Canis lupus familiaris: one gene and its partners. The protein of the gene in region 1 binds, or shares a complex with, the protein of each later gene. Links are inferred from orthologs where the notes say so. Each region holds a gene or a part of one and is shown in the gene's direction. Other genes may lie near its edges. The genes, in order: UBE2D2, MUL1, RLIM, RNF125 and RNF25.

Region 1 (4,165 bases):
AACATTTGGCAGGATCCTTCCCTTAGGAGCTCCAGTTTCTCCTCTCGAAATTCAGGTTAGAAATCAATGATCTAGACATAGGAAGAATAGTTTTCTTCCAGACATAGGAAAGAGCAGTTTTAGAATCAGATAAGCCTTGGGATGAAGTTGAGAATGTGGGCATCACTCACCAGGAAAATAATCCTTAACTATTATTCTCCATTGTCTCCAGCCAGGCTAAGTACCTCCCAGCCTAGGCTTGAACTTATATCTCACTGGTCGTGGTGTAGGGCTCTACACACACTAGTTACTCGGGGAATTCACATTTGTCTCATCCTCCTAAAAAGCAGGCTAGCTCCTGATGGTGATCTGAACCACATGGTTAGTTTTAACTCCTGGAGCACACAGTACACCGTTTTTCTTCTGAGGTTAATTGGTGCAGTGCTTGTTTGTAACAATTCACCAAGCAAAGAAAGGCCTACCTAAGAGATCTTGCAGTTGTCATGCTGCTGGGTGGGGCTTTGGCTAGAAAGGCCAAGGGCGGGCAGCCCAGGTGGCCCAGCGGTTTAGCGCCGCCTTCAGCCCAGGGCATGATCCTGGAGACCGGGGATCGAGTCCCACGTCGGGCTCCCTGCATGGAGCCTGCTTCTCCCTCTGCCTGTGTCTCTGTCTCTGTGTCTCTCATGAATAAATAAATAGAAATTTTAAAAAGAAAGAAAGGCCAGAGGCGGGCTGGGAAAAAAAAAAAAAAAAAAAGACACATCCCCAACAGGTGCCCAGGCTGTTACCACGAGGCTTGGAAGTCCCGGCTTTGCCTCTGTAGAGCTGTGTGACCTTGGGCAAGTCCCTTCCTCCTACAGGAACGTTGTAGTGGACCGGTACCCCCTCCCGGGTCAGTCTGTGCTACGGCGCTGACCAGGTGGATCCGGAAAACATTCGCCTTTACACGTTTATGAACACGCGCGTAGGGCACCAGAGGCCAGGGACTCAAGGCTGCCGTCGCGCGAGCATCTACCACCCGCTCCATAAATCTCGCGAGACTGCTCCCCTGCGCTTCGCGGCGTCATCCTCTCGGCGGCCGCGGCGGCGAAGGCGACCGCGCGTAAGACACTAACAGGGGCGGCCCGTATCCTTCCGCCGCCGGCGCGGTCCGGCCCTCCCTCCCCTCGCCCGCCAATCCCCGGGCCTCCCGACCTGCCCCTCGGCCTGGACCCACCCCGCGCTCCGGCGGCCCCACCCCGGCGGCGCCGCCCGCCCGTCCGCCCGCGAGTGCCTCCGTCCACCTGCAGCAGGCAGTCCCTCTGGCTGTTCCACTGAGCGGCGCCGGCCGAGCCCGAGGCTTGGGCTCTTGCTCCCCGGCGGAGGGATCCACGGCGGCTGAGGAGGCGGCGCTGAGACTAGGTGGAAGAGGCAGCTACGGCGGCGGCGGCGGCGGCGGCGGCGGCGGCTCGGGCGGCAGCGCATAAAGGGGCCGCCGCCGGGTGATGCGGTGACCGCTGCGGCAGGCTCAGGAGCCAAGTGGGCCTCGGCCCGCAGTCGGTCCTGCCAGGCTCGCGCTCGCGAACCCCCCGTCTTCTCCGGCCGACCCGCGGTCACTGAGGCGGCCTCGCGCCCCCTCGCCCCTTCCCCGTCCCTCCCCTGCCCCCGTCCCCGCCCCGGGGGCCGCCGCCACCCGTCTCCCACGATGGCTTTGAAGAGAATCCACAAGGTAAGCGGCCGGAGGTCGGCTGAGGGTTCCGGCCGCTGGGCGGGCTAGCTGAGCAGGCTGCGGCCTGCACTTCCCGCCGTCGCCTCCGCCCGGCTCGCGGCCTCTTCGGACCCGGCTGCCGGCGGCGGTGGTCCTGCCGGGCGCCCTTCACACCCCACTCCCAGTGATGGCGCCGGTAGAGGCCCCGGTACGCAGCCCGCGCTCAGGCCGCAGGTTCGCCAGCCGGCTCAGCGTGCCTCCCTGGCCTCCTTTCTAGGCCCCGCGTGGTGTGGAGCCCCAGGGCCTCTGCCCGGCCTGGGACTGCTGCGCTAGAGGGCCATTGTCCGGCCATGCCGGGAGGGGGAGCTGGGCTGGGGCGCTGAGCTGTCCCATTGACAGAGGTCGAAAGGGCTCCTCGCCCCACGTCTGCCCGTGTCCCCCGACTCCCGCCTCCCGCCCACCTGCCCTGGTTCCCTCCTCGGAGCCGCCTGAGCTTGGAGCCCACGTCTCAGGCACACGTAGGAAGCCTTTTTGTCCGATCCACAAGTATTCCTTGAGTTTACTTACCTCTTGGCGGCCGCGCACTTCGGTCCACTCCACTCGTCCAGAAACTTAAAGAGTAGGAAGTTCAGAAGGAAAACAAAACAAAACAAACATGACTCTTGAGGGAGGAGGGAAGTAGAAAGAGGTTTTGTTCTTTGAGGTTGCCTAAATGTAGTCTGAAATTAAACTTTTATAGGAATGGATCTAATAGAAAAACGTAAATTTGCAAGGATAGAAGTAGAAACCTGAACATTGAAAACCGCTGAAGGAATTACACAAAGTTTCCCTTTACTGTCTCTTTATACGGTGGATTTTAACGCGTAAATTACGTCATATGTTCAGGGAGACCCTTTGAATTTAGAAGGAATTTTGCTCAATTTTTTCTATTCGAAAGGGTGTCTTTGCCCTTTAAGAGGAAAGGTTATTTAGTTATTTGTATGAAGGTTTTCCGTATACTGATTCTACCTTATGGGCTTGGCTCTAAATTTAGAGTACCCCCAATATTGTAACACTCCTGGAGCCTCTGACTATCCTGTCTTTTTCTTAAAAGTGAGAAGTACTAATGATGATTTTTGTTTGGTTTTACTTAGCTCCTTGGAGAAGCTCTATCAAACCTTTAGCCACTTATAAATAGATCCCGGGATTATCCATCGGGAGGAATGGGATGGAGATGTACCGGGAAGAGAACAAATATTCATTGCCCTAAACTCAGGGCAAATACAGACTGTTGGACAATTAAAACACCTCAGTTTGCAGTGGATTTTCATTTCATTCATGCTCAAAGACCTTTAACGTGGAATTAATCCTAATGGTTACTGTAAATTAGGTTAGATCCTTACTAGCTTGTTTGGATTTCTTTGATTTCTAACAAATGAAGAAAGGCAGAGTTCAGAGTAAATCTTGCATTAAAATGAAGCAGGTTATTTGTTAAAAGGAGCTTGCAATTTAATCAAAGAATTCTTAAAGAACTATTTAAGGGACAGGAGCATACTGAGGAATCATCATCCAAATAAAAATGTATATGTATTTTTAAGGTTTGTTTTGTTTTTTTTTTAAGATTTATTTATTTATTTATTTGTGAGAGACACAGACTGAGAGAGAGAGGCAGAGACAGGCAGAGGGAGAAGAGGTTCCTCACAGGGAGCCTGATGCTGGTCTCTATCCCGGATCCTGGGATCACGACCTGAGCGGAAAAAAGGCACCCAACTGCTGAGCCACCCAGGCGTCCGTGTGTTTTTAAGGCTTTTAGTAGTTTTTATAGGGTCTCAATGGGTTATCAATTTGAGATTGTAACTGTAGAAGACTGCTCTTTTTTTTTTTTCAACTCCTCTCTCCATGTTCTTACTCTAAAACCTGAAGAGGAGTATGTATGATAATTTGCAGATCAATAAATATACCTTTTAATCTCTATGTTAATTGATATGTATTCTATTTTTTCAGAGAAAGGAACTCAAAACATGTACTTTAATCTCATATACTTGCCCCAGTAATTAGTTTCTTTTGAGTTGCTACATATTCTCTAGATTTTCTCTAAAATATAAAAATTTCAATAAGATCAAGTTTAGGCAATGATACTTTGAACTTTTAAAACTCAGTAATTAGCCTTTTTCCCCCCTGTTTTATAACTTAAGGCCCTCCTCAAAGTATGGCTCAACTTCTGAGACTACCGGGGAATAGAAAAATAAAATTTATTTTGGTATACTAGTCAGTAAGATTGTGAAAACAAAATGGAGATTCCCCCCCCCCCCAATTTTTTGTATAATAGCAATTTTAAGTTGAAGTCAGACTTACTTAGGTATGGGTAAGACTAGTTCTTACTATCTTCTTGGCCCTAGTAATGTATCTACAGTGGAATCCCAAAAAAACTTAACTTGGCTTATGTAATTGATCTTGATCTTGAACCTTTTCAACTATCATTCTCTGAAAATACAGTTCTACTTAAAAATACTCTGTTAA
Region 2 (4,129 bases), about 44 Mb from region 1:
GAGAAGCAGGCCTCACGCAGGGAGCCCGATGCAGGACTTGATCCCTGGACCCCAGGATCACATCCTTGGCCGAAGGCAGGCACTAAACCGCTGAGCCACCCAGGGATCCCCTGTCCCTGTCCCTTTGCCAACACAATGTGTTATTAACTTTTGGACAAGTTCCATTAAAAAAAAATAATAAAGTTAGGTTTAACTTTAAGTGTATGTGTGTGTACCAAATTCATGATCACCTCTTAGTTGAAAACCATCAAAAAGTATCTGGGGGCAGGAACAATCTGGAGATTCTAACCCCACGTTCACAGAAAAGCAATTCTCATTGGATTCCAAGGATAATTAAGGAATGTGGTAGGAAAATGTCACGGACAACCAATTTCTTTAATAAAGAGACTTTACTTTTGGGGAGCAACCTACAGATGTCAGATGCCTTTTACATATATATTGCTTTTGACCAGCGGGTACATTCCTACACCTCCAAGAATTTTTTTAAAGCGTAACCAGGAGGAGCTAACTTGGATGAACACCTTGATGTTTTGGGTCAGGTTTTGGGTTATCTTCTGATTATTTCAGTAAGGAGATCACTAAAGAGGTCAGAAGATAGTCTGAAATCGGCTCCACAGTCGTGGTGTGAGGATTAAATAGGATGTCTGTAAACACAGACACAGAAACAGGCACCATAAAGCAGCTGTAATTATTAGCTGACAAACAATAGGTTGTTATATGGGGGTGATGACAGATTAAGGGGCTACTTTGGTGATAAAATCTGCCTTCTTGGCTGTAAGGGCTCTGGGAGCCCAATAAATTCCTCTCTTGCACTCACCAGCAGTGCAACTGTGAGCACATCCCCTAATGTCCCCGGCCTCACTCTTCGCATCTGCAAAGTGGGAAGAAAAAAAAAAAAATTCCAAGGCTCAAGGTTTGCCCTGAGCTTAAAGGTGCAACACTCCCAAGGGCTTGCTACACACTAGTCCTCTTCTTTTCCTCCCCCCCTAAAGAGGCGGAGGTTTAGGAGTCTCATTAGTCTCGGTGGAGCCATCACGAGCCCATCAAACACCCCAACAATAACCCCAGGAAACCAGAGCGACCCGAGCACGACCAGCGCGGCTCCCAAGGGCAAAGGGTCACCAGAGACCCGCGATCTCGGACTTCCGGTCAGCCCCCTCGCCCCGCCTCTCGGCGACGGAGACCCCGCCCCCGCGGAGGCCGCCGCAGCCGGGCGGTCACCCGGGCAACGCCGCCTTCCGGTCCGCGCGGCCCCGCCCACTTCCGGCCCCGGCGTCGTTGCGTCAACGCCGGGCGACGCGGAGCGGGTCTCCGGAAGGGCGGCGTGGGGGGCGCGGTTCCGGGCGGAGGGCGGCGGAGCGTGAGGGCGCGCGGCCTGACCTCGGCGTCGCCGCGGGCACCCGGGGCTCCGCGCCAGCCATGGAGAGCGGGGGGCGGCCCTCGCTGGGCCAGTTCATCCTCCTGGGCACCAGCTCTGTCGTCACCGCCGTCCTGTACTCCGTGTACCGGCAGAAGGCCCAGGTCGCCCAGGAGCTCAAGGTCAGTGCTGGGGCCAGCCTGGCCTCCGCCGGCTCGACCCTGCCCCCCGGTAACGGTGGGCCCGCCCTTCGCCTCCGGCCGGAAACCGCCCCAGGGCGGAAACCGGCTCCTGAGAGGTGTCGCCCCGCCGGTCTCGGTGGGGGCGCGGCGAGCAGAACTCGGGTCACGTGATAACCGCTCCACCTGCCCCTCTTCCTCTCAGTCCCTCTCCTCACCCGGAATCGCGACTGGATTACATCATTCGACAAATTCTTAGCGGGCCGCCTGCTCTGCTCCAGGCCCTGGGGCTCCTGCACGGCTAGAAGAGACCAAAAGTCTCTGCCCTCATGGAGATTCCAGTCTGGTACAGACAGACAAGTACATCGGATGGGGTGACAGATGGGGAGGAAAATAGGACAGAATGAGGCGGGGAAGAGAGGAAATGCGGTGCCGGAGAAAGGGAGGTGTGCTATTTTAAAGAAGGTGACATTTAACAGAGCCCAGGAGGAGGTGAGGGAGACCGTGCAGGTGTCTGGGGGGAAGAACAGTTCAGATGGAGGGAACAGCAAGTGCAGAAACCCTAGACTTTGCCCATTTATGTAACCACTCAGTTCCTTGTTCCTACAGACTCTTCCTTTTTTGATGGTTTAGTTACTTTAAAAATAACACTTTCTTTCTTAGTCTGCCCTTTCCAGCTTAGCACATTCTCATCTTGTTTTTTTTTTTTTTTTCTCCTTCACAATCATTTTTTTTTTTTTTGAGGTATGGAAAATGACAGTCATCTCCAGATTGCAAATGGGGAAATTATTGAGACTCCCGGGAAAAGTCTTAACAGCTCCTCAAGTTGGAACTTAGGTCTTTGGATTCCAAGTGTGGGATTATTATTATTTTTTCTTTTCTTTTTTCCTTTCCTTTCCTGATTGACCGCATTGCTTTACTGTGACGGTCTGACTGGCCCATGAGAGATGGACCTCTTTAGGTCGGAGACAGGGTCTTACGTATGCTTTTTCTTCTAGGTTGTAAGTCAGTGCCTGACAAGTGGTAGACGCTCACCGAATGTTTGTGGATTCCTTTTGGCTGAAATGTCACGATACCACAGTTAGGGCTTCGCTTGACGTTTATTTGAAGGATTCCTAAACCTGGCTTAGTTCATTATCACCATATTGTTTTCAATAAAAGGGCTCAGGAACCAATGTGTGAAATCCCTGCCGTCAAGGGGAGTTTGGGAATGCATCTGGATCGAACCAGGTTACCAAGCAGTTAGATTTGTGGTGCAAATGGCGTCCTAGTGAGATTCCAGCTGCCCAGTTGTTTGATTATAAACAGGTTACTGCTGAAGTCATGTGCCAGGAGTGTAACTGATACTCCACTTTCTGACTCTAAAAGTCTGAAATCAGGTTGGCATCAAGCTGGCTGAATGTGGGACCTTTGAAGCAGTGAACTCTCCAGGATCTATTTTTGGGTGGCCTTAAAAGTTTTGCCAGTTAGTTCCCAAATGAAGTTGAAACAGCCCCTTCCTGGAAAGAGTTGGGATTCCTAATATTTTAGGTTCTGTTTTCTTGATCAGATTACAAAACTCGCAGAGTAGGTTTGAGTCTTAACCTTGTGCATCTCTCGTAGTGATGGGAATGCATATTTATTGCCTGCCTATTATGTGCCAGCCCCTGGGCTAGATTCCTTCACACCTTACACATCATTGAACACACATAAAAATCCAGTGATAGTTTTATCTCCATTTTTTTTTTTTTACAGCTTTGGCAATTGAGACTCAGGTAAATTAAGTTGCTCAAAGTCACAATAGATGGACTGAAGGTTGATTCAAGTGTCTTTCCAACCGTATTCCCTCTCCCCTTTAAAAAATTCTAACTGGCCATCCTGTGGTGGATGCTGTACCAGCTGTGTGACTTGGGGCAAAGCATTTCATATCTCTGAGCCTCAGTTTCCTTATCTGTAATTGGGGCTAATAATGTCTGCTGTATAGGGGTGGTAGGAGCATTGCATGAATTTACGCGTGTAAAGTGTTTAGCGTAGTGCCTGGTACATACAGTTGACCTTTGAACAACATGGGTTTGAACTGTGCAGGTCCACTTACACGCAGATTATTTTCAACAAATACAGTATTATAAATGTATTTTCTTATATTTATTTATTTATTAAAGATTTTATTTATTCCTGAGAGATACAGAGAGAGAAGCAGAGACACAGGCAGAGGGAGAAGCAGGCTCCCTGCGGGGAGCCCGATGCAGGACTCGATCCCAGGACCCTGGGATCACAACCTGAGCCAAAGGTAGACACTCAACCACTGAGCCACCCAGGGGCCCCTTCTCATGATTTTTTAAAAATATATATTTTTTAAATTTTATTTACTTATTCATGAGAATACACAGGAGAGAGAAGCAGAGACACAGGCAGAGGGAGACACAGGCTCCATGTAGGGACCCTGATGTGGGACTCGATCCCGGGTCTCCAGGATCACACCCCGGGCCGAAGGCGGCACCAAACCGCTGAGCCACCGGGGCTGCCCTAAAAAATATTTTCTTTTCTTTAGCTTGTTTTATTACAGGAATACAGCATATAACCTACAAAATGTGTTGATTAACTGCTTATGTTA
Region 3 (3,508 bases), on another chromosome or scaffold:
ACTTCTTTTTTTCTTATTTCTGATTCCAAGATTATGTTCCAGTCATAATCCTCCAAAGCTGTCCTTGGGTAAAATAGTCAGTTTAGGACTTTGTGCTTGGTGATTCTTTTTTGCCAAGTTAGGTCCCATTTGATCCTGATTAAAATTCATTATCTCCGGTGCTCCTCCATTCTATTTAGTTCTAACCTTTGAGTTATTGTATACATTTTAAAACGTAAGGTGTTAGGAGAGGGAGTGCATTTTGAGCCAACCATACCAGACTTGAATCAGGATGCTGAAGTTGGTATTCTGGCCCTGCCATTTCTTAATACATCAGTCTATCACTTAGTCTCAGTTTCCTTATTTTAAAATGCAGATAATAATTTCCACCTCCCAGAGTTAGAGTTTAAAAGCGTGGGATAAAAAAAAAATAAAAAAAAAAAATAAAAGCGTGGGATATCGTATGCAAAAGCACTTAGTAAACTGGAAAGAAACTTGGCATAAATTGTAATGTCATGCCCCCAAAGAAGTAAATTTTATCCAGGTTCCTACTCCATCGCCATTTTTATTTGTAATTTGGCAAACATTTCTAAACTATTTTCAGGTGAAAGTACTGAGGAAGAGTTGCTGAGAAGACTACAACAAATTAAAGAGGGCCCACCACCACAAAACTCAGATGAAAACAGAGGTATATTTTGTTTTGGGTGGGGGTGGGTAGGGGCTGAAGTAGATCAGGAACTACTGGAAATGTCAGCCAAAGATTATCCAGAAACAGGACAAATTAATTTAGTGCTAAGGAACTGTTAACAAAAAAGAGAACTGGCATTTTCTTGGTATTTGGCGAAAATGTCAACATGTTTTTTTTTTCTGCTTCACCTTTGAGTTTATATTAATTGAGACATAGTGAAAAATGGCCTATTTAAATGTGTTGGATTTTTTTTTTATTTTGCATCTCCGTTGAAATTTCCTCCCACCTACTGAATTATTTCTTCCTTATAAACATGTGCACTTTCCACCAGCAGAAAGAAATGCTGTATTCTCTAACCTGATGGTTCTCAATGGATTATATCTCCACCCCTGTCCCAGGGACACTGGCAATGTCTTTAGACATTTTTGGTTGTTGTCACAGCTAGGGGTTTGCTACTAGTATCTAGTGGGTGGAGGCCAAGGATGCTGGCAAACATCACAACATACTAAAACTCATTAACAGCGCAGCCCCCACAACAAAGAATTATCTGGCTCAAAATGGAAATAGTGCCACTGTTGAGAAATCCTGCTTTTAATTTGAAGTAGGATTGTAGGAAATTTCACTGTCTGACATAGGCTATAATAATAATTTGGTTCTTGAGCATGCCATTATATATACCATGCTAGGTGCAAACTGTTCATTTGGTCTGATCTCTAATTTTGTGTTAATTTAAAATCTTGGCAATAAAGTATTAGAATACTTTTGAAGCAGTAAGCCCTGTTTCTATTTTTGCAGTGGCCACAGCAGTCTTGTATTTTAAAAGTCCTGTATTATCAAAGGCACTTAAGTCAGGATCCTAGAGGAAATGTAGACTAATGAAAATTTGACAAAAATGCAATTTGAACTAAAATACTAGCCCTGTACCCTAACTGGCATTTACCTTGTTTGATTAATGTTTTGACAGTGGACTCAAAAAATGTCTTCTGACAGTCCACAGTGGTATCATAAGCTCTGTATATGATGAAATACTGAAAATAGACTTCCTCCTGATTCCCTTTAGATAAACTTTCCCTAAATTTCTTTAGGAATAGCTTGCTCTTTCAAAATGGAATTGGAAAAAAATGGAATTGAAAGATTCCTGCCTTTACTTGCAAATCTATGCAGTATAGTTCACAAAAATCTGTAAATGTGAAATCTATTCAGAATCTTTGTCCTTTTTTTCTAACACAGTTTCAGAGTACTATTACATGATTGTCCTAATTTTAGTAGTTCCTGTTTCTCCCTCTTCCCTCCCTTTTTTAAAAACAGGTGGAGACTCTTCAGATGATGTATCTAATGGTGACTCTATAATAGACTGGCTTAACTCTGTCAGACAAACTGGAAATACAACAAGAAGTGGGCAAAGAGGAAACCAATCTTGGAGAGCAGTGAGCCGGACTAATCCAAACAGTGGTGATTTCAGATTCAGCTTAGAGATCAATGTTAACCGTAATAATGGGAGCCAAAATCCAGAGAATGAAAATGAGCCATCTGCAAGACGTTCTGGTGGAGAAAATACAGACAACAGCAGCCAAAGGCAAGTCGAAAATCCACGATCTGAACCAACATCCACAAGGCCATCCAGATCAGAACGAAATTCAACTGAAGCGTTAACGGGAGAAGTCGCACCTACCAGAGGTCAGAGAAGGGCAAGAAGCAGGAGTCCAGATCATCGGAGAACCCGAGCAAGAGCTGAAAGAAGTAGGTCACCTCTGCATCCAATGAGTGAAATTCCACGAAGATCTCATCATAGTATCTCATCTCAGACTTTTGAGCATCCTTTGGTGAATGAGACCGAGGGAAGTTCTAGAACCCGGCACCATGTGACATTGAGACAGCAAATAAGTGGACCCGATTTGCTAAGTAGAGGTCTTTTTGCAGCTTCTGGAACAAGAAATGCCTCCCAAGGAGCAGGTTCTTCAGACACAGCCAGCAGTGGTGAATCTACAGGATCAGGACAGAGACCTCCAACCATAGTCCTTGATCTTCAAGTAAGAAGAGTTCGTCCCGGGGAATACCGGCAGAGGGATAGTATAGCTAGCAGAACTCGGTCAAGGTCTCAGACTCCAAACAATACCGTCACTTACGAAAGTGAACGAGGAGGTTTTAGGCGTACATTTTCACGTTCTGAACGGGCAGGTGTGAGAACCTATGTCAGTACCATCAGAATTCCGATTCGTAGAATTTTAAATACTGGTTTAAGTGAGACTACATCTGTTGCAATTCAGACCATGTTAAGGCAGATAATGACAGGTTTTGGCGAGCTAAGCTATTTTATGTACAGTGATAGTGATTCAGAGCCTAGTGGCTCAGTCTCAAGTCGAAATGTGGAAAGGGCAGAGTCACGGAATGGAAGAGGGGGTTCTGGTGGTAGTAGCAGTTCTGGTTCCAGTTCGAGTTCCAGTTCGAGTTCCAGTTCAAGCTCCAGTTCTAGTTCCAGTTCCAGTCCTAGTTCCAGTTCCAGTGGTGAAAGTTCAGAGACTAGCTCAGAGGTGTTTGAAGGCAGTAACGAAGGAAGCTCATCATCAGGCTCATCGGGTGCCAGGCGAGAGGGTCGACACAGGGCCCCGGTAACATTTGATGAAAGTGGCTCTTTGCCCTTCCTTAGTCTGGCTCAGTTTTTCCTCTTAAATGAGGATGATGATGACCAACCTAGAGGACTCACCAAAGAACAGATTGACAACTTGGCAATGAGAAGTTTTGGTGAAAACGATGCATTAAAAACCTGTAGTGTTTGCATTACAGAATATACAGAAGGCAACAAACTTCGTAAACTACCTTGTTCCCATGAGTACCATGTCC
Region 4 (4,165 bases), on another chromosome or scaffold:
GTTCTTATCATCTGAAATGATCTTGCTCATTTACTCGTTGATTACTTACATCTTCTTATTAAAAGCAAAGTCGGGGGGAAACTGGGTTAAGTTTATGGGATTACTATGTATTACATGTATTGTTGTGTGATGGGTTGTGTGGATCATATATTACTAGGTGTTATTTATAAATAAATGATAAGCATGTTGGGGCAGCCCTGGTTGCTCAGCGGTTTTGCGCCGCCTTCAGCCCAGGGCCTGATCCTGGAGAGACCGGGGATCGAGTCCCACGTCGGGCTCCCTGCCTGGAGCCTGCTTCTCCCTCTGCCTGTGTCTCTGCCTCTCTCTCTCTGTGTGTGTCTTATGAATAAATGAATGAAATCTTAAAAAAAAAGATATTAAGAAAATGATAAGCATGTGAATCTGTAATTATCTCAACCAAAGTCAACATTTTTGGTTTTGTTTTTTTAAAATAAGTTCTGTGGGAACGGGGATTTTGTCTCCTGGTCAGAATTGTGTTCCCATCACCAGAACAAAGTCTGCTATGCAGTGGGCACTAAAGAAGTCTTATTAAATGTGTGGCTTTTTTAAAAATAATATTTTATTTATTATTTGAGAGAGAGAGAGAGAGAGAGAGAGAGAGTGCACAAGCAGAGGGGAAAGGGCAGAGGAGGCAGAGAGAGAAGCAGCAGGGAGTCCGCGGTGGGGCTTGATCCGAGGACCCGGAGATCATGGCCAAGCAGAAGGCAGATGCTTAACCGACTGGGCCTCCCAGGCGCCCAGGTATGGCTCATTAAATGATGTATTTGGTCATGGCTAAAAGAGGGAGGGGCAGGGAGTAGGGGCAACAGCGGGACACCCTGCGCCCAGGAAACTGAGGCAGTAGAATTTATAGCACTAGAACCCTTATCGTCGTGAGTTGGGATCCGAACCCGGGTCTCAGAACCTTTTGCACGCCGCGTGCTAGCCCTCCCCCCGTGGGGCGCCGACTGCGGCCCGAGCGCAGGGGGGCGCGGTCTCGGGAGCCGCTCGGTGCCAGCCCGCGGCCGGGGCGCGCTGGGGTCGCAGCCGCGCAGGGCGGACGCGAGCATCACCTCCCGCGGGGCCCCTGCGTCGCGGCCGGCGGGGCCGGCTCCACCCTCTCCGGAGCTCGCCAGAACGCGGTACGGACGCGCGCGACAGCCCGCCGGCCGCCCCGCCGCTCCGGGCCCTGCGGGGGAGGTTTCAGGTTTCAGCCCTCGCAGGAGCCGGGCCGTGGCAGCGCGCACCGTGCGGCCGCCCCCGCCTCCTTGTGTCGGCCGCGGCCGCGCGCTCGTCGGCCCTGGACGGAGGTGGGGCGCCGGGCCGCGGCCGCCGCCGGGCTGCTGTCGCCGGGCGCGCGGGGAGGCGGCGGTCGCCGCTGGGCCGGGACTTCCTTCCTCTGCCGCAGGACAGCAAAACAACCCGGCCGCGGGCGCGGAGCTGCCGGCCGCTGTCTGGGCGAGAGGCGCCGCGATGGGCTCCGTGCTGAGCAGCGACAGCGCCAAAGCCGCCCCCGCCTCGGCCGCCCCCCGGGCCCTGGAGCGCAGCGGGGACCCCGAGCTGCCCGTCACGTCCTTCGACTGCTCCGTGTGCCTCGAGGTGCTGCACCAGCCCGTCCGGACCCGCTGCGGCCACGTGTGAGTGCGGGGGGAGCTCGGCTTGCGCGCCCGCTTCTGGGGAGGGCGAGGCCGGGGGAGCCCGCGCGTGGGAACGGAGCTCCTGCGGGGGACACACCCGGACCCGGCGAGCCCGGGCCGCGGGGAAGGCGACCTGTCGGAAGGTGACACAGGCATGCAGGAGGCGAAAACAGAAACAGGCGGGCGCCGCGGCGCCTCCCCGCCAGGCCCCGAGGCGCTGCTTGCCCCAAGCCCAGGTGCGGAGCCCCAGACCGGGTGCCCAGGCGCAGGAGCCGCCGGGGGCCGGGGCCGTCAGCTGGGGAGGGTGCCCTTGGCTGGACGGCCGGCACCCGCTTGGACACAGGGCAGTGGGCTTCTGCAGAGCAATCACCCCGCCGAGCTCAATCAATCGGGAGGTGCTGCCCCCTCCCCACCCCCCGCCGCCCCGCAGGTCGGTTTTGTTTTGCTGGCCCTGCACGTGTTCCAGGACGCCCACTGGGGCAGCCTCTTGAGCAAACAAAGATCCGTGCAAACTGTCCTTCCACCTCCACCTCCCCCTCCCCATCCTAATGCACACACTCAGGCCCTTCAAAGATCAGCTCAACAGGCGGAGTGACCTCGTAGCCCTTAGACTTTAAGTGCCTGTCGGGGTGGGGCCGGGACCTGAGAACCTTAGCGCCAGGCCCTTGAGTGTAGCCCTTTAAAATCTAACCACAGAGTGACAGGAGTTTGCAGACTCCCTGCCTCACGCGGCGCTTCCCTAAAATCGATGGAAAGCAGAGATAAAAATTAGTCGTTTCTAAAAAGAGTTTGAAAACAAAATCCCTATATAAAATTGGCCCGTCCTTAATGTGTGCTGGGGCCACTAGTGATGGGAGTTGGACCTGTGGTTTCGTGTTCTGTTTCCGCAGAAGCTTGCTTTCCGTGGCTGCCTGGGTGTGTGAGTGAGTGTGTGCCTGTTGGGGGTGGGTGGGGTGCGGGGAGTTGCACAGAGTGAGAACGGAAGCCCACTTAATGTCTTCTTTGGCTGACTAGAGTTTGATGAAGCGCCAGGGCAATACCGCAATGGCTAGTAAGTGCTTCTGGCTTAGCAAGGGGGGAAAAACCCATATTATAAATGCAAGTGCACAAAATGTTTTCAAAAAGACTTAGATGGTTCTTGACACCTATAGACTAGTGACTGAGAAGCACCATGAAAACCTCGGTGGTGAGCCAAGAAGGAAAAATGCAGCCCACATAGTGTTTAAATAAAGAGTGCCCTGGGCATTATTTTGTGGCTGTGTTTTCAAGGCCTGTTGTTTCAGCGTTGTACTTTAAACTCAAGCCTAATTGGCCTCCAGACTGATTACTGATGTTGTTTCCCAGCTGTCCAGATGTAGCTCATGATATGAAATCCCAAGGCCAAGATGGAAGCCGAGATAGCATCGTGTAACAGTATAATATATTGATTAGTTGGGACAGTAATCATCCCCGGGTAGCTATGGGTAAATTTAGGCTGTGCATTAAAACTTTAAAGTTGCACCAGGAATGCGCAGCGGGCATCGAGTCTTGAAAGTTCCTTCTGTAGAACTGAATTGGATGACTTTGATATTGGAGGTTGTTATCTGATTGAGGATTGTTTTCCCTGGTTTGGATTTTTTAAAAATATTTTACTTATTTATTCACGAGAGACACAGAGAGAGGCAGAGACACAGGCAGAGGGAGAAGCAGGCTCCATGCAAGGAGCCCAGTGTGGGACTCGAAGTGGAACTGGATCCCAGACTCCAGGATCACGCCCGGGCCCAAGGGAGGCGCTAAATCACTGAGCCACCCAGGGATCCCACCTGGTTTGGATTTTGAATGCCATAACTTACTGTTTGTAGTGTTTTTGCTTCTGCTAAAGGATAATGTAAATGTGTAAAAAGTTAAATCTTTTGTTTAATCTTTTTCTTTGTTAGAGTTTGAATAGGAAACCAGCAACTGGAAAAAATAGTCATGAAGTAGCACAAGGGCTGGATGAATTGCCTTCCCTCACTTTACTGTTCTTTGTTTTGACAAATCTATGTCCATTGTTCTGGCTGTGGGCAGAATTTCCATATTCCTCCTTTTGGCAAATTTACTTGGGCCCCTTCCACTTTATAAATGTTAACTAGAGTTCCTTCTCCACTGGGAATGGTGAGTGCTGTTAACACCATTTGTGTACTTCCTAAATAAATTTACTCTCCTCCATTGACCCTAAATTGGAAAATGGAGAAATGCAAATGAAATCTCTGTATGTTATCTCCTATTGAAGCTAATTTCCAAACTTGTTGAACTCGTTGGTTTATGCTGATTTCTGCTCATAAACCTATTTCGAGTCAATCAAGTACTTAATAATGACAAAAATACATTGAATGAGTATGTATATAGCACTCTATAAATTGTAGAAACAGTGGGACTGAGAGAGAGCAGTATTTGAAATTCAGCCCTGCCACTGACTGGTTGTGTGACCACCATGGGGCTATCTCTTTGACTGCTTCTTCATTTGTACAATAGGGTGAATAATGGAATTTTTATGAGTATTTTAAAAA
Region 5 (4,077 bases), on another chromosome or scaffold:
GGGAGATCTACATCACCCTGCACCCTGCCACTGCAGAAGACCAGAATTCACAGTATGTGTGCTTCACCCTGGTGCTTCAGGTCCCAACACAGGTGAGGCCCCTGCCTTGTGGCAGCAAAGGGAGAAAGGAGAGAGGCTCTGGGGTGGAGTGCTTTAGCAGTAACATCATTTCCTCCCACTAGTACCCCAATGAGGTGCCACAGATCTCTATCCGTAACCCCCGAGGACTCTCAGATGAACAGATCCACAAGTAAGCTGGGCTGGTCAGGGCAGGGAAAATGGGCTGCAGCTCAGTCTGGTGAGGGGAGGGAGCAGGCCTAATGTTTGCTTTGCCCTTTTCCAGGATTTCACAGGCACTGAGCCACGTGGCCAATGCTGGGCTGGGTACTGCTATGCTCTATGAACTCATCGAGGTAAGAGGTGTGCTAGCTCGGGAAACTCCTAGAGCTGTTTCTCTTAGGGGAGGTAATGGGCCTAGGATCTTACATACATCTGGAGTCATTCATTTACTCTTGTTTAGGTGAGGCCTAAATCCAGAAAGATGAAATTTTCTGTTACCAAGAATCCTACCACCCCCCCAAAAGAGAGTTCCCTAGCTTCCCCAAGTGGCCTATGCTAGTATCCTAAAAATGACTTTGCCTTTATAACTTGAATTTTTCTTGATTCTGCTTCAAGGCATTCTCTGGGCACTGGCAACCGAAAGTAGCAAGAGATAGAGACCTTGCCTAGAGAGTCTCACCACAAATAAAAATTTGAAGGCTAGTCTGCCATTGCAGTGGACTAGGACTAAAAAAGTCATGGTTCTTTTACTCAGTTTCTCCCCTAATGAAGTTAACAACCCACAGAGAACACCTAAAGCTACAAGTTCACATACACAGACAACTTCTGTTGCTTGAGATTAAAAACACAATTAAGTACAGTCTTGTTTCAAAACTTCAAAACTTTGACTTTTGAAGAAAAATGTTCAGAAAAGAATGAAGGTGGGCGGCCTGGAGTCCGAGTGGCTTAGACCACTGTAGCACTCCTGAGCCCGGCCTCCACAATGCCACTTTGAGCTTTGTGGAATTCCAGAATATTAGCTATTCAAACAACAGTGCAAAGGAGTTTGTTTGCAGCCCAACTTGATGCCCTTGAGTTCTCTGTTCATTTGGGTTGTCCATGCCTCAACTTTTTCTGGAAGCTGGCTCGAAGAACAGACCTCTTAGAGTGATAATCAGAGGGGGTTAACCAAAGAAGACCTCCCAGAAGATAAGAGTTTCAATTGAACATTCTGTTCTCTCGAGGCATATTATTTTCATCCCTGAGGTGTACTAAAGGTGATTTATGAAGTGGAAAAACAGCAAAATTGGATTGTGCGGCTGGGTTGATGTGGCAGGAGGGGCAGGGACGCGGAGGACTGATTCCAGGGGGAGGACACCTCCCCGAGACAGGAATGCATGAACACAAAGTAACATGCTAGCTTAGTAGGAGACATTCCCGCATTCACCCCTGGGAATAGTAGAACCCTGGCTGTGTTCCCAGTTCTTGCCCCTGCCTCCCTGTTTGAAATGTCTTCTCTCCTCTCAGAAAGGGAAGGAAATTCTCACAGACAATAATATCCCCCATGGCCAGTGCGTCATCTGCCTCTATGATTTCCAGGTGGGTTTCTCCCTTGGGACCTGGCGTCTGCTTGGGCTGGCAGTGGAGGACTCATGAGAGCTCCGGCGCCATGCCCTGTGTCTCCTCCCTTCAGGAGAAGGAGGCCTTTACCAAAACACCCTGTTACCACTACTTCCACTGCCACTGCCTTGCTCGATACATCCAGCACATGGAGCGTGAGCTACAGGCTCAAGGCCAGGAGCAGGAGCAGGAACGGCAGCATGCCGCAACCAAGCAGGTCAGCTTGCCAGCCCCTGCTCTCACCTGACCGCCTCACACCCTTTTCTGTCCCTCGACTCCAGGGGCTCTTCGCCTTTTTGGGGTCACAGATCCCTTTGAAATTTGAAAGCTCACCTCTGTCCAGAAAAAAGGGTGTTCTTATATACATGTATACATGCTGTGTGCAGTTTCAGAGTTCCCAGACCTCTATCTGGGGAGGCAACCCCTGCCCTATCCTGCCTCAATGTGCCTGTGCCCTTCATCCCTGCCCTGTTCAGATTAGCCTGGCTGACTGGGTTGGGCAGCTGGCAAGCGAGCACTATGGGCCGTGAAGCAGGGCTGTGATTTCTCTATTTTTAGAAGGCAGTCGGTGTGCAGTGTCCGGTGTGCAGAGAGCCCCTTGTATATGATCTTGCCTCACTGAAAGCAGCCCCTGAACCCCAACAGCCCATGGTAAGGAAATTCCCTTGTCATCTGAGCCAGGAATAATGGCATCCTCCAAGGAGGGAGGGATGGCATCTTATCTTCCTCAAATGGGACCTCCAGAATTGGGCTTGACCTGCCTGGGACCCTGCAGAGCTACAGCCCCAACTAGGCTGAGGCTTTGAGAGCCCAGATCTGAGAGGCAAACCCAAGAACCTCAAGCAGATCTGAGGCAGTCCTGAAAGAGCAGGGATTCGAGTCTGCCTTCTATTTTTTTTTTCCCCGCTCTCACTCTGCTCACTGCCTTCCAGGAGCTATACCAGCCCAGCGCAGAGAGCCTGCGCCAACAAGAAGAGCGCAAGCGGCTCTACCAGAGGCAGCAGGAGCGGGGAGGCATCATTGACCTTGAGGCTGAGCGTAACCGGTACTTCATCAGCCTCCAGCAGGTGAGGGAAGCCTTCCTCACACCTCCCTTACTGCCCCCTACCTTCCCAGCAGCGCCCCTCTGCCATGGCCCTAGGGAGAGCTCTGTTCTACCCTTAAGGTTAGAGGCTGATGGCAGTCAGCCTCAGCTGTGAGCAAGGGGCCTACAGCTCCCTGCTTTGGGAAACTACACCTCCCTCACTGCATCTGCTCATTTCTTTCTAGCCTCCTGCCCCTGTGGAGCCGGAGTCGGCTGTAGATGCCTCCAGAGGATCCCAGCCACCCAGTGCCCTTGCCTCAGAACTGTCCACCTCATCAACTGCCCAGCCCAACCTGTCAGCTCCTCTGCCTGTGGCCTCCCAGTACACGTGTGAGAAGATTCCAGGGGCTGGGCCAAATCAGCAAAGGTTGGGCGAGACCCAGAAAGCTATGATAGATCCCCCCCGGGCCAGTCGAGGCCCCTGGAAACAGCCTGAACGGAGGCACCTAAAGGGAGGGGAGTGCCATGCCCACAAAGGTACCAGTGACACCCAGGAACTGCCACCTCCTGAGGGGCCCCTCAAGGAGCCCATGGACCTAAAGCCAGAACCCTGTAGCCAAGGGGTTGAAGGTCCTCCCCAAGAGAAGGGGCCTGGCAACTGGCAGGGTCCCCCACCCCGCAGGACTCGGGACTGTGCTCGCTGGGAGCGCTCCAAGGCTCGGACACCGGGTTCTTCCTACCCCCGCCTGCCTCGGGGTCGGGGAGCCTTTCGTCCTGGTACTCGGAGGGAGCCCCTGAGCATGGAGTCTGAGGACGGTTCCTAGCAGTACTGTGGGGGGCAGGGATTTGGGGGGGCAGGGAGGGGCAATAAAGAGATTTGGCCTTGTTTGGCTTTCTTTGCTTAGTAGCGCCTAGCCTGTACAGTATGGCTTTTTCTGAATCTCTAGCAAGACCTGAGTGGGAGACTAGCTCCAACTTTGCCCTGAAGTCCCATTTTCCCAAGAGATCAAGTTCTGAATAAAGATAGGCCTGACACCTCAGCCAGCGTGGTGGGTTTCAGGAAAACTAGTAGATGCCAACATCTAAGCAGAACATGCAAGAATATGATGTGCACACACCCACCGTGTATATGTCCACATTTTTATGTATATACATTTTTTTAAAACCGAATGCCTTTAGATCGAAGACTGTACTTCCCTGTTTACCATGGTGTCTCTTCCAGCTTTGCCTTAGCTTATACCCCCAGCACTGGCCTCTGTGGATGCCTGAGGGCCCCTGCCTTTGACCTAAGTACCAATACAGGGAGGCAGGGAGGGAGGCCAGAAAGCAGAGTGGTGTGGCAGGTGTTTATTGATCTAGAGGAGAAGCGCTGAGCACAGCTTGCCCGTCATGTC

Evidence for each region.
Region 2: the proteins of UBE2D2 (region 1) and MUL1 are in contact, whole or in part, in a crystal structure (PDB 6M2C), measured with the Homo sapiens proteins. The link is inferred for Canis lupus familiaris from reciprocal best matches to the Homo sapiens genes UBE2D2 and MUL1. Residues at the interface, in NP_003330.1 of Homo sapiens: Met1, Arg5, Lys8, Glu9, Asp12, Phe62, Ser91, Gln92, Trp93, Ser94, Pro95, Ala96; in NP_078820.2 of Homo sapiens: Val303, Val304, Cys305, Leu306, Cys326, Ala329, Leu330, Pro331, Pro337, Ile338, Arg340.
Region 3: the proteins of UBE2D2 (region 1) and RLIM are in contact, whole or in part, in a crystal structure (PDB 6W7Z), measured with the Homo sapiens proteins. The link is inferred for Canis lupus familiaris from reciprocal best matches to the Homo sapiens genes UBE2D2 and RLIM. Residues at the interface, in NP_003330.1 of Homo sapiens: Met1, Arg5, Lys8, Glu9, Asp59, Pro61, Phe62, Lys63, Ile88, Gln92, Trp93, Ser94, Pro95, Ala96, Leu97, Thr98; in NP_057204.2 of Homo sapiens: Ser571, Val572, Ile574, His595, Cys596, Arg599, Trp600, Glu603, Pro608, Ile609, Arg611.
Region 4: the proteins of UBE2D2 (region 1) and RNF125 are in contact, whole or in part, in a crystal structure (PDB 8GBQ), measured with the Homo sapiens proteins. The link is inferred for Canis lupus familiaris from reciprocal best matches to the Homo sapiens genes UBE2D2 and RNF125. Residues at the interface, in NP_003330.1 of Homo sapiens: Leu3, Lys4, Arg5, His7, Lys8, Glu9, Asn11, Pro61, Phe62, Lys63, Ile88, Gln92, Ser94, Pro95, Ala96, Leu97, Thr98; in NP_060301.2 of Homo sapiens: Ala38, Val39, Cys40, Leu41, Glu42, Cys60, Thr63, Ser64, Asn67, Pro73, Tyr74, Arg76, Glu102, Tyr122, Lys125, Tyr126.
Region 5: the proteins of UBE2D2 (region 1) and RNF25 are in contact, whole or in part, in a crystal structure (PDB 5D1K), measured with the Homo sapiens proteins. The link is inferred for Canis lupus familiaris from reciprocal best matches to the Homo sapiens genes UBE2D2 and RNF25. Residues at the interface, in NP_003330.1 of Homo sapiens: Leu3, Lys4, Arg5, His7, Lys8, Glu9, Leu10, Asn11, Asp12, Arg15, Ser22, Pro25, Gln34, Thr36, Val49, Phe51, Asp59, Pro61, Phe62, Lys63, Phe69, Thr70, Thr71, Arg72, Ser80, Asn81, Gly82, Gln92, Ser94, Pro95; in NP_071898.2 of Homo sapiens: Val136, Ile137, Cys138, Leu139, Tyr140, Cys161, Arg164, Tyr165, His168, Pro199, Val200, Arg202, Gln220, Met222, Glu223, Leu224, Tyr225, Gln226, Arg238, Leu241, Tyr242, Arg244, Gln245, Arg248, Gly249, Gly250, Ile251, Ile252, Leu254.

What each region holds. Positions count from the first base shown.
Region 1 is NC_049223.1:33,951,314-33,955,478, forward strand, and holds the start of UBE2D2 (ubiquitin-conjugating enzyme E2 D2), read left to right. Parts: upstream 1-1,361; 5' UTR 1,362-1,663; coding exon 1,664-1,687; intron 1,688-4,165.
Region 2 is NC_049223.1:77,793,522-77,797,650, forward strand, and holds the start of MUL1 (mitochondrial ubiquitin ligase activator of NFKB 1), read left to right. Parts: upstream 1-1,328; 5' UTR 1,329-1,419; coding exon 1,420-1,539; intron 1,540-4,129. UniProt on the Homo sapiens protein: Exhibits weak E3 ubiquitin-protein ligase activity. E3 ubiquitin ligases accept ubiquitin from an E2 ubiquitin-conjugating enzyme in the form of a thioester and then directly transfer the ubiquitin to targeted substrates.
Region 3 is NC_049260.1:58,030,011-58,033,518, reverse strand, and holds part of RLIM (E3 ubiquitin-protein ligase RLIM), read left to right. Parts: intron 1-583; coding exon 584-667; intron 668-1,975; coding exon 1,976-3,508. UniProt on the Homo sapiens protein: E3 ubiquitin-protein ligase.
Region 4 is NC_049228.1:57,578,706-57,582,870, reverse strand, and holds the start of RNF125 (E3 ubiquitin-protein ligase RNF125), read left to right. Parts: upstream 1-1,365; 5' UTR 1,366-1,473; coding exon 1,474-1,637; intron 1,638-4,165. UniProt on the Homo sapiens protein: E3 ubiquitin-protein ligase that mediates ubiquitination and subsequent proteasomal degradation of target proteins, such as RIGI, MAVS/IPS1, IFIH1/MDA5, JAK1 and p53/TP53.
Region 5 is NC_049258.1:25,142,127-25,146,203, reverse strand, and holds the end of RNF25 (E3 ubiquitin-protein ligase RNF25), read left to right. Parts: coding exon 1-92; intron 93-182; coding exon 183-250; intron 251-343; coding exon 344-413; intron 414-1,566; coding exon 1,567-1,638; intron 1,639-1,732; coding exon 1,733-1,876; intron 1,877-2,217; coding exon 2,218-2,310; intron 2,311-2,591; coding exon 2,592-2,726; intron 2,727-2,928; coding exon 2,929-3,507; 3' UTR 3,508-3,569; downstream 3,570-4,077. Other genes in the region: BCS1L (mitochondrial chaperone BCS1), read right to left, coding at 4,071-4,077. UniProt on the Homo sapiens protein: E3 ubiquitin-protein ligase that plays a key role in the RNF14-RNF25 translation quality control pathway, a pathway that takes place when a ribosome has stalled during translation, and which promotes ubiquitination and degradation of translation factors on stalled ribosomes.